3 linked regions of the Saccharomyces cerevisiae S288C genome follow. Changing the gene in region 3 together with the main gene of any one other region gives a genetic interaction. Each region holds a gene or a part of one and is shown on either strand. Other genes may lie near its edges. The genes, in order: ZWF1, PEX34 and CTP1.

What was found.
Region 1: of CTP1 (region 3) and ZWF1, a mutation in one rescues a mutant of the other (synthetic rescue), as found in Saccharomyces cerevisiae (one study listed by BioGRID).
Region 2: of CTP1 (region 3) and PEX34, changing one suppresses a phenotype caused by changing the other (phenotypic suppression), as found in Saccharomyces cerevisiae (one study listed by BioGRID).

Annotation. Positions count from the first base shown.
Region 1 is NC_001146.8:195,923-199,998, forward strand, and holds ZWF1 (glucose-6-phosphate dehydrogenase), read right to left. Parts: upstream 2,022-4,076; coding exon 504-2,021; downstream 1-503. Other genes in the region: ATG2 (Atg2p), read left to right, coding at 1-180; iron-sulfur cluster assembly protein NAR1, read right to left, coding at 2,580-4,055. UniProt on the Saccharomyces cerevisiae protein: Catalyzes the rate-limiting step of the oxidative pentose-phosphate pathway, which represents a route for the dissimilation of carbohydrates besides glycolysis.
Region 2 is NC_001135.5:26,298-29,308, forward strand, and holds PEX34 (Pex34p), read right to left. Parts: upstream 1,063-3,011; coding exon 628-1,062; downstream 1-627. Other genes in the region: PRD1 (metalloendopeptidase), read left to right, coding at 1-609; KAR4 (Kar4p), read left to right, coding at 1,632-2,639. UniProt on the Saccharomyces cerevisiae protein: In concert with the three peroxisome divisional factors, PEX11, PEX25 and PEX27, controls peroxisome morphology and abundance under conditions of peroxisome proliferation. Maintains mature peroxisomes in actively dividing cells.
Region 3 is NC_001134.8:783,122-786,396, reverse strand, and holds CTP1 (Ctp1p), read left to right. Parts: upstream 1-1,824; coding exon 1,825-2,724; downstream 2,725-3,275. Other genes in the region: YBR292C (uncharacterized protein), read left to right, coding at 1,324-1,695; BSD2 (Bsd2p), read right to left, coding at 2,841-3,275. UniProt on the Saccharomyces cerevisiae protein: Transport of citrate across inner mitochondrial membrane.

The sequences.
Region 1 (4,076 bases), on a different chromosome or scaffold from region 3:
GGAGGGCCGAGCGCCGCAGCAGTTTATGTTGCTAGAGCTGCACCTGTGGCAATTATTCGGCCGTTAATTGGGGCCACTGAGGCAGTGTCTAAGACTTTACAGGGAATAGCTAATCAAGTGGATAAGACGCATAACGAGCAAATCAATGATAAGTACAAGTCCAATCGGACTGATTCGTAAAAATTTTTGCAGACATTTTTGATATATATTCAATTCATATTTTATCTCTTTTTTTTTTTTTTTTTTCAGACGTGGAATGGTGGGAAAGCCAAAATGTCACTGACCGCGGCTAAAAGTTAAAAAATACATGAGACGACATTCTTTTATGTATATATATTTACACATGTATACAAACAAATACACACGCAAGTAGAGAGGAGTTGGTGGGGGGAAGATGCCATTATAGAGGAGAAAAGAACAAAGAGAGTGAGCTTGCAAGATAAAATCACTCGAAAAAAAAAATTTCAGTGACTTAGCCGATAAATGAATGTGCTTGCATTTTTCTAATTATCCTTCGTATCTTCTGGCTTAGTCACGGGCCAAGCGTAAGGGTGCTTTTCGGGCATAACATACTTGTGTTTTTGCATATATTCCTTCAATCCCTTTGGACCTCTTGATCCGTAGGGGTAAATTTCCGGTGTTGGACCGTCCGGACGCTCTATGTGCTTCAGTAATGGGGTGAATATGCCCCAACTGATATCCAATTCGTCATCTCTGACAAAGTTGGAATGGTCACCCAGTAGGGCGTCTCTTATCAACACCTCGTAAGCCTCTGGAATCCAAAAGTCTTGGTACCTGCTTGCGTAAGTTAGATTCAGATCTGTGACTTGGGTAGCATTTGACAGACCAGGGGTCTTAGCATTAAACTTTAGGTACACAGCGGCATCGGGCTGCACTCTGATGACCAGTTCGTTATTTGGAATGTCTTTGAAGACACCCGATGCGACCGCTTTGTACTGCAGTCTGATCTCCACCTTGGACTCATTCAAAGCCTTACCGGCACGCATCATGATGGGGACGCCCTCCCAACGCTCGTTTTCGATGTTGAAAGTCATTGCTGCAAAAGTGACACATTTAGAGTCCTTGTCTACAGTGTCATCATCCACGTAGGCGGGCTTAGACCCGTCCTCAGATTTACCGTACTGGCCCAAGAGGACGTCGTCCGTGTCGATGGGGGCCACGGCCTTTAGAACCTTAACCTTTTCGTCACGAATAGATTCCGGGTCAAAAGACACCGGTCTTTCCATAGTCAAGAGAGTCATGATTTGTAACAGATGGTTCTGCATCACGTCTCTGATTATGCCTATAGAGTCGAAATAGCCGCCACGGCCTTCGGTGCCGAACCTCTCTTTAAACGAAATCTGAACGCTTTGAATGTTGTCTCTATTCCACGAGGCATTCAAAAACTGGTTACCGAACCTCAAGACTAAAAGATTCTTGACCAACTCTTTACCCAAGTAATGGTCAATTCTGTACAACTCTTCTTCTTTAAAGAGGGGCCCCAGGTTTTTTTGCAGCTCCCTGGCAGAGGCCAGGTCGTGGCCGAAAGGTTTCTCTACGATTACACGGGTGATGCCATTCTCTGCGTACACACGACTCTTGATCTGCTTGGCCACCGTCAAAAAAACGCTTGGCGGCAAGGCCAGATAGAAGAGACGGTGTGGGACATCGACGTTGGCACTTTTCTCGAATTTCTCGATCTGCGTTCTTAATTCGTCGAAGCCTTCATCTGTGTCGTAATTTCCCGAAATGTAGCTGACCATCTTGAAGAACTGTTCGACCTTAGAGTCATCGGCTTCACCGTGAGGTTTTTTCAAGTGGGGTAGGACACGGGACTTCAGGTCCTCCTCCATGGACAATTTGGACCGGGCATAACCGAAGATCTTGGTAGATGGATCAAGGTAACCTTCTCTGAAAAGCCCAAATAAGGCGGGAAAAGTCTTCTTCTTTGCCAGATCACCTGACGCACCAAAGACAGATATGACGGTATTTTTTTCGAATTTGACGGGGCCTTCACTCATCTTGCCTTATGTGGTTTTCTATTCTATTGGATTTACTCTTTCTGTCTATACAGCCAATTGGAGAGGGGGAAGGGGGAGAAGGAGGGGTGAGTGGAGAAAAGGGAGAGAGGGGCAGGAGGAAGCCACTTTAGGTGTTATGTGTCGGTATATAGATGAACCCACAGTTTGCTTATATATGGGATAGCCTTGGCGAGTTTTCCGTACATTGAAGAATTCGCCACCCTTAGAAAAGGGGCCACCACACCTTGAGCCAAAAATCCCACATTAATAATATTCCATTTTTTTTTTAGTCATTTTTTTTTTTTTCGTCTCTCTTCCTCCTCCGGCCGAGCCGAAACCGGGCTTTTAGCACCGTTGGAAGCTTGTATCTCCGCGTAAGACCGCCGGAGTATGCATCTTATAGCGGTTTTTCCAGTTCTTTTCCACTATTACGTGGTGCTTCCAGTAGCGCTACTATTATTGTTGTTCTTGCTATTATTTAAATGTCACTATGTACTTGATACACACAGTTTGTGGTGATTTCACGCTTATGTACACGGGTGCAAAACTACACCTTACTTACCAGGTGCTCCCAACAGAGACGAGATCCTTTTCGACGGCCTGCTTGACGGGCGCGAAGACGTACTCTAGCGAAAGCGGGCGGGCTGCCGCCTCTTCTAGCTTGGGTCCCAGGGTTAGAGGATCTACCATTGCTAGCTCCTCTCCGTGACGCTTATTCAGTGTCTGAACCAACTGCTTCCGCTTGAGACTGTTTTGCTCGCCATTGAGTAGGCCACCACCGTTCATGCATGCACCCGGACACGCGTTTACCTCGATGTAGTCCGAGTGGTAGGGATCGGCCGTGGCGGCCGTGGCGGCCGCCATCTCGCGTGAGTTCGCCTTTGGACCTGTTCGTCTCTTCCGCAGAGCGGTGATGTTCCTCTTGCGCTCTGACCCGGAGCCCGAGGTCAGTTTACGCACCAGATTTTGGATGTTTCTAAACCCGGAAAGCTCGCTGGCGGCGGCTATTATGCGATCATCGTGCAGCAATCGGTACTCGACAATGTCGCTGTTTCTACCCTCCAGAACTATCATCTGACTTCCTGGGTGTAGTCGTTGGACAGCCGTTACGTACTGGTAGGCATAGCCACCACAAGTGCCTCCCAGATTCGACGCCCAGTGGACTCGCGGGTCCCATCCCGGCGGTGATAGCCGCCCATATAAACTTGTGTCCTCAGTAAGAAACGACTTGAAGTCTAAATTCAACTCTTGTAACATTGTCACTATTTCACGTGGCGTAATGACACAGTCAATCCCATCGTCAAGCGATTCTGGCCTTGACGCTTCTAGTTTCTTGTCAAAACATGGCATCAGCGACAGATGGTAAAAGGACTCACGCGCGATAGCGAGACTCTCGAACGTAGCTCTGATCAACGAGCCCGTAATTTGCTGAGGCGACTTGACATTGAGCAGCATAGGCACCAACTGCGGTTTGGTCTTTTCCGTGTATATAAGAAATCCCGGACACACAGCAGATAATAGAGGCTTGCGGTCCGCACCGGTATTTTCTTTTTGTTTCTTATGCGCAATGATCTTCTCTACGGTTTTGCTAATCGATATGATTCTGCCCATCTCCGTTCCAACCATATACTTGCACTGGAAATGCTTTTGGAAAAAATTCATCAAACACAAATCGGCCGCCTCCAATGTTAAGCCGTAGTACTGCGCAAGAGATAGTCTGCATTGTGGCGAGACACTCACAACGAGGAATTTGTCTTGCTGCTGCGAAAGCTTCCCCCAGTTTTTCAGGAAAACCGAGTGACTTTGGCTACTCAACAAGATTTCTTCACTAGACGTTATACAACCAGAACACGCGAGGCAGTCTGATAGGGTAATAGAGACCTTCTCCAGTTGGTCTGGTTCCGTGCTCACCTCGTATTCTCCGTTCATGTTAACGTTATCCTTCTTGCCCCCGCTCACCTGGGTAGGTTTGACGCACGCAAGGGCGGGACTGATAAAATCGTTTAGGTCAGACTCGGACAGTAGAGCACTCATGCTTTCTTGTACACTTATCTT
Region 2 (3,011 bases), on a different chromosome or scaffold from region 3:
GTGGGACAAAACAAGGAATCGAGGTTTAATGGCCCCGGATCTGTTCCATGGGATTTTGTGGAGGCACCTTCCCAAATGTTAGAATTTTGGACTTGGAATAAGAATGAATTAATCAACCTCTCATCACATTACAAAACGGGCGAAAAAATTCCAGAATCTTTGATCAATTCATTGATCAAAACTAAACACGTAAATGGTGCTTTATTCACTCTAAGACAATTACATTTTGGGTTATTTGATATGAAAGTACATACTTGTAAAGACTTGCAAAACCTGTCAATTTGCGATACCTGGAACCAATTGAGACAGGATATTTCTTTGATTTCTAATGGTGGTACGTTATCCAAGGGTTATGATTCATTTGGCCATATAATGTCAGACTCTTACTCTGCCGGTTATTACGGTTATCTATGGGCGGAAGTCTTTGCAACTGATATGTATCACACCAAATTCGCTAAGGATCCGTTAAATGCCAAGAATGGGATACAATACCGTGATATTGTGTTGGCTCGTGGTGGCCTTTATGATATTAATGATAATCTGAAAGAATTTTTGGGTAGGGAACCTTCTAAGGATGCTTTCTTGAAGGAGCTGGGCTTACAGAACTAAATTCGTTCAAGCATAAAATTATACAATTATTCTACAAAGTGTTATTATGTTAGATAATCTTTTAAATAACCTCGTCCCTGGATAGATTAAAACCATTAAATAGCTCAAATCTTGGAGTAAAGCAGCAGTAATATGTCTGATATGTTCGTTATATTTTTTCTTGAAGTTTATCAACTTATCCTTTACTAGACCATTTCCCTCCCCATCCAATCGTTGATCGATTTTAAATTTCACCTTGCATAATTTTATTAATTTCCATACACATTTTATCACTGAAATGCACGAGTAACACAGCCAAACTTTCCGTAATAGCCCACTTACATATAACTTATCGTTGACCACGCCTAGGTTTTCCAATACTGCGAAGAAATCAAGCAGCGAACTTACACCACTCCATATATTCTCCCATATATCTTTTGCACTGATTTCAGCCGTATTTTTCTTCGAAACCATTCAACTTTCTTTTCTTCTTCCTTTACTTTTATTCATCTCCTCTTTACTTCTTACCTCAGAGTCGAACATTGAAATCATTTCCCGCGAATTTTTCGATTATAATTACCCTTTCTACTTAACAAGAAGCAATAAGAGCAAAGGGGCGAAATGCTTGTCCCATACTTTGGCTTTTGGATGTGACATTAGGAGCCTTATCTCCTCTTAATGCCTTAAGTCAAAAAATAGTTTTTGGGATATATCTTGTGATCAAATGCTTTGCAAAAGGGTAAAACAGCGTTTACAATAGGATAGCCAAAAGTAAAAAAAAAAAAAAAAAAAAAAAGAAGGAAGTTAGTATCGAGCTCAAACAATTTTAGTTTTGCTGGACATATTTTCAGTTTCATTACTGTATATTTGCAGCTTGGTTTTTGTCGCTCTGTAGTCTTGTTTCACACTTCGTCATTTCCGAGTTTCATCTTGCGACATAACTTGTTTCAACTTTTCAAGTGCGACTTTTTGTTAAATATTATGACATAGAAGAAAGTAGAACAGCCATTATAAAACAAAAGAGAAGTGAGAATACTATTAAGATGGCATTCCAAGATCCAACTTACGACCAGAATAAAAGCAGACACATCAACAACAGTCACTTGCAAGGGCCAAACCAGGAAACAATAGAAATGAAATCTAAACACGTATCATTCAAACCCTCTAGAGACTTCCATACAAACGATTACTCGAATAACTACATTCATGGGAAGTCGCTACCGCAACAGCATGTTACTAATATTGAGAATAGGGTTGATGGCTATCCAAAACTTCAGAAATTATTTCAGGCGAAAGCTAAACAAATAAATCAATTTGCCACTACGCCATTTGGGTGTAAAATCGGAATAGATTCCATTGTTCCAACGTTGAATCACTGGATACAGAACGAAAATTTGACTTTCGACGTGGTGATGATTGGCTGCTTAACAGAAAATCAGTTTATTTACCCAATTTTAACCCAATTGCCATTGGATAGATTGATCTCCAAACCAGGTTTCCTGTTCATCTGGGCCAATTCTCAAAAAATCAATGAACTTACTAAACTTTTGAATAATGAAATATGGGCTAAAAAGTTTAGAAGAAGTGAAGAATTGGTTTTTGTTCCTATTGACAAGAAATCACCGTTTTATCCAGGTTTAGATCAGGACGATGAAACGTTGATGGAAAAAATGCAATGGCACTGTTGGATGTGTATCACAGGTACAGTAAGGAGGTCTACAGATGGACATCTTATTCATTGTAACGTAGACACTGACTTGAGTATCGAAACGAAGGACACCACTAATGGTGCTGTACCATCCCATTTGTATCGTATTGCAGAAAACTTCTCTACCGCGACTAGACGATTACATATTATTCCTGCAAGGACTGGTTACGAGACACCCGTCAAAGTAAGACCTGGCTGGGTTATAGTGAGCCCAGATGTTATGTTGGATAACTTCTCACCCAAGAGATATAAAGAAGAGATAGCTAATTTAGGTTCGAATATCCCATTAAAAAATGAGATTGAGCTGTTAAGACCAAGAAGTCCAGTACAAAAAGCACAATAAAGCATCAACACATAAATCCTTGCTTAGCTCAATTAAATATACTAGTAAATAAGTATATAAACAATAATTTTGCATTTTATTTTACTGGAAACTCTTCTCAAAACCAAATTGCGCAAGGATTGATTCAGTACAATTATGCAAACTCGAAAAGTAAATAAACAAAAAGATACAGTTGAGTGAAAGGTAAATAAACATTATTCTACTTGATTTTCCTCTGTTTTTTCCATTTTTCTTTTTTGTCTTTTCGTGTTCTAGCGTGTTCACTTTTTCAGCCATGTAATTACTTAAATAGGAAGTTTACACGATGTTCTCGCATAAAAAGCTGGAAGTGCAGAACAAAGAGGAAGAAAATAGGAACAGAGAATTTGTTTG
Region 3 (3,275 bases):
CTATTTTCTTTTATATTCTGTTTATTATATCATGTTCTAAAAATGTCATATATACAATTCTGAAAAGGTTTTTGACCCTTACGTAACGCTATTCGGTCAACTACTTGTGAGACATATATTGTTCAAATATGTAAATGAAGAAAAGTACGCCTATTACTAGGATCCACAATACCGTAAAGCCTGTTAAACAAGGAGGAACAATATATATATCATAATTTTTTTAGAAAGAAAAGCCAAAGAAACAGCATTTGCAGGCACAAATCCGTGATAATAATGCATAGAACAATATGTGAAACCCCACAAGGTTACTGGTCGGATGATGAGCGAGCCCAGAGAAACCAACAGACCTCTGTAAACATCACTATGCCTTATCACCACACTTTACCATAATGCATTGAAAGTGCAATTGGAGAAGCCACCAATAGACGAGCTATGATGATATATTTAGCGTCCCTTAAAATATCGACTTATACAGTGGATAACATTTCCGCTCGCATTCCTCGAAGAGCATTATTTCCAAACTACTGTTGAAAAAAAAAAAATACGAAGACGACGCTTACCTGAGCACCCAGGATGTACACTTCGCCACAAATTTTGAGAGGCCTTTTGTTGTGATATTAGTTGAAATATATAACCACTTAATCAGGCAAAAAGACAGCAGTCACTATTTCAAGTTGGTAAAAAAATCCTGTTTTCGCTAATTGTCGATTTGGCCTTTCACCTGGACTTGAAAGCTTCAATTACGGCCTGATACATTCATTCTTTATACTGACCTTTGCCCAATTTATTATCCAGAACTATAGCCATTAGGTTGCAGGCCACTGGGACCACCACTGACTGGAAAATATTCTATTGACGAATTTTCCGCAACTCATCGCTGATTAGTTTATGAACTTATCCCGTCGGAATGAGAAAGTTACATATGCAGGAATTCTCTACAAGCAGCAATAACATGCTTTTATTTTACTGTCGTATTGTAATTGCTTATTCGGTTCCAAACATGTCAGCTATGCCAATATTTTAGAAGAGTGGGAAAAAAAAGAGATGTTATAGACGAACGACAAAAGTTGTGAAAAACTCGAATGGAGTAATGGAGCAAGAAACAAGAATCTGTCATAGTCAATACGTGATTTTGATATGCTTTCAAGCTTCTGAGAACTTCATTCATTACACTCCACCACATATACTATACAACGAATAGCCCAGTCGAAGAGGTTATGATTGTGTTCATTTATTTTTTTACATGACAGAGTCTCCCTATTGATACTAAGCTTGCTGCAATAACTCTTCTTACTAAGAGGTAACTTACATCTTGACTTTTTAATGAAGTTCCCAGCCGATTACCATTATACGTCGCCGTTTCGTTCATGTAAATATTCAAATATACTACACTTTATATCTTTGCTTCTTATATTTTCGCGCGTAGGTTTGCCTAATTACATTTTTATATTCCTCATCAATAAAGCCGCCAACAAAGAGCACAGGGTAGAAACTCTGCTGTCTGGGAACTCGGCTAACGCTTGTAAGCTATTTAATATTCTCAAATCATTTCAACACCTCTTTTTTTTTTTTCAAATATGTACTATTTTCTCTATTTCCATTAAGTTAGTCTTACTGAAGAGTCAAGAATATGGAAGAATTCCTGCGGAATTTTCAATTATTAGAAGTGAAAAAAAAAAAAAAGAAGAACAATGAAATTTAGTCTCACTTTAGCGTGATATATAAAACGTAAAATGTCGAAGCCAACGTAAAATTAAAAACATTTTGATGTCACAATGAAAGAACTCCAAAGTAGAGCTTGAATTATAAATTAGCATTTTACCGATGTCCAGTAAAGCTACCAAAAGTGACGTAGATCCATTGCACTCGTTTCTGGCAGGGTCCCTAGCCGGTGCTGCTGAAGCATGTATAACATATCCTTTTGAGTTTGCCAAAACAAGGCTGCAGCTGATTGATAAGGCCTCCAAGGCATCAAGAAATCCTCTGGTATTGATATATAAAACTGCAAAAACTCAGGGCATTGGTTCCATTTATGTCGGATGTCCCGCATTTATTATTGGAAACACCGCTAAGGCGGGTATTAGATTTCTTGGCTTTGATACCATTAAAGACATGCTAAGAGATAGTGAAACTGGAGAACTAAGTGGTACAAGAGGGGTGATAGCTGGGTTAGGTGCGGGACTATTAGAAAGTGTTGCCGCAGTGACTCCTTTTGAAGCAATCAAAACTGCTTTGATCGATGATAAACAATCTGCTACACCAAAATACCATAATAATGGGCGCGGTGTAGTACGAAACTATTCATCATTAGTCCGTGATAAAGGATTTTCTGGTCTTTATCGTGGTGTTTTGCCAGTTTCCATGAGACAGGCCGCAAACCAAGCCGTTAGATTGGGTTGTTACAATAAGATTAAGACCTTGATCCAAGATTATACGGATTCGCCAAAAGACAAACCTTTATCATCCGGGTTAACCTTCTTAGTGGGTGCATTTAGTGGTATTGTGACGGTCTATTCCACCATGCCCCTTGATACTGTGAAAACAAGAATGCAAAGTTTGGATTCCACCAAATACTCCTCTACAATGAATTGTTTTGCAACCATTTTCAAAGAAGAAGGGTTAAAGACGTTTTGGAAAGGTGCTACGCCTAGACTTGGGAGATTGGTCTTGAGTGGTGGTATTGTTTTCACTATCTATGAAAAGGTCTTAGTTATGCTAGCCTGAAATGTATTATTGTGTACAATATATCATCTAATGTTTTCTACTCGTTATAAGTCTATTTACCAGCCGATCACTTAAAAAAGTTATATATCTCTTTTTATCATAATGAAGAAGATGGCTTATGCTTGATTTTGACTTTGGTTGAGGTATTTCTTTTCCAATTTTTTGACTTGAATGTAGTCGTATATACTCTTCAGGGTGATAAATAGCCCAAGAAATGCCACAAAAACAGCCAACCATGGTATGTTTTGTTTTTCTTCATCCAGACCGTGATTCAAATGTGATTCAAATTTATCTTGTGTCGTTGATTGTGAATTTAGACGAACATCATCGAATTCATTTGGATCCTCTAATTCCATTCTATTTAAGCTTTTATTTTTGCCGACTTTTGAAGTAACATCATTGGGAATCATTGAATAACCATATCCAATGAACGTTAACCCTAATCCAAACCTTGAACCTTGCTTTGCTGCGTGAGATGTGTGTAAAATGTAGGTTATTAAAAATCCAATGAACTGAAAACTCGTGCTTACGATGATATTCCATAATAAATT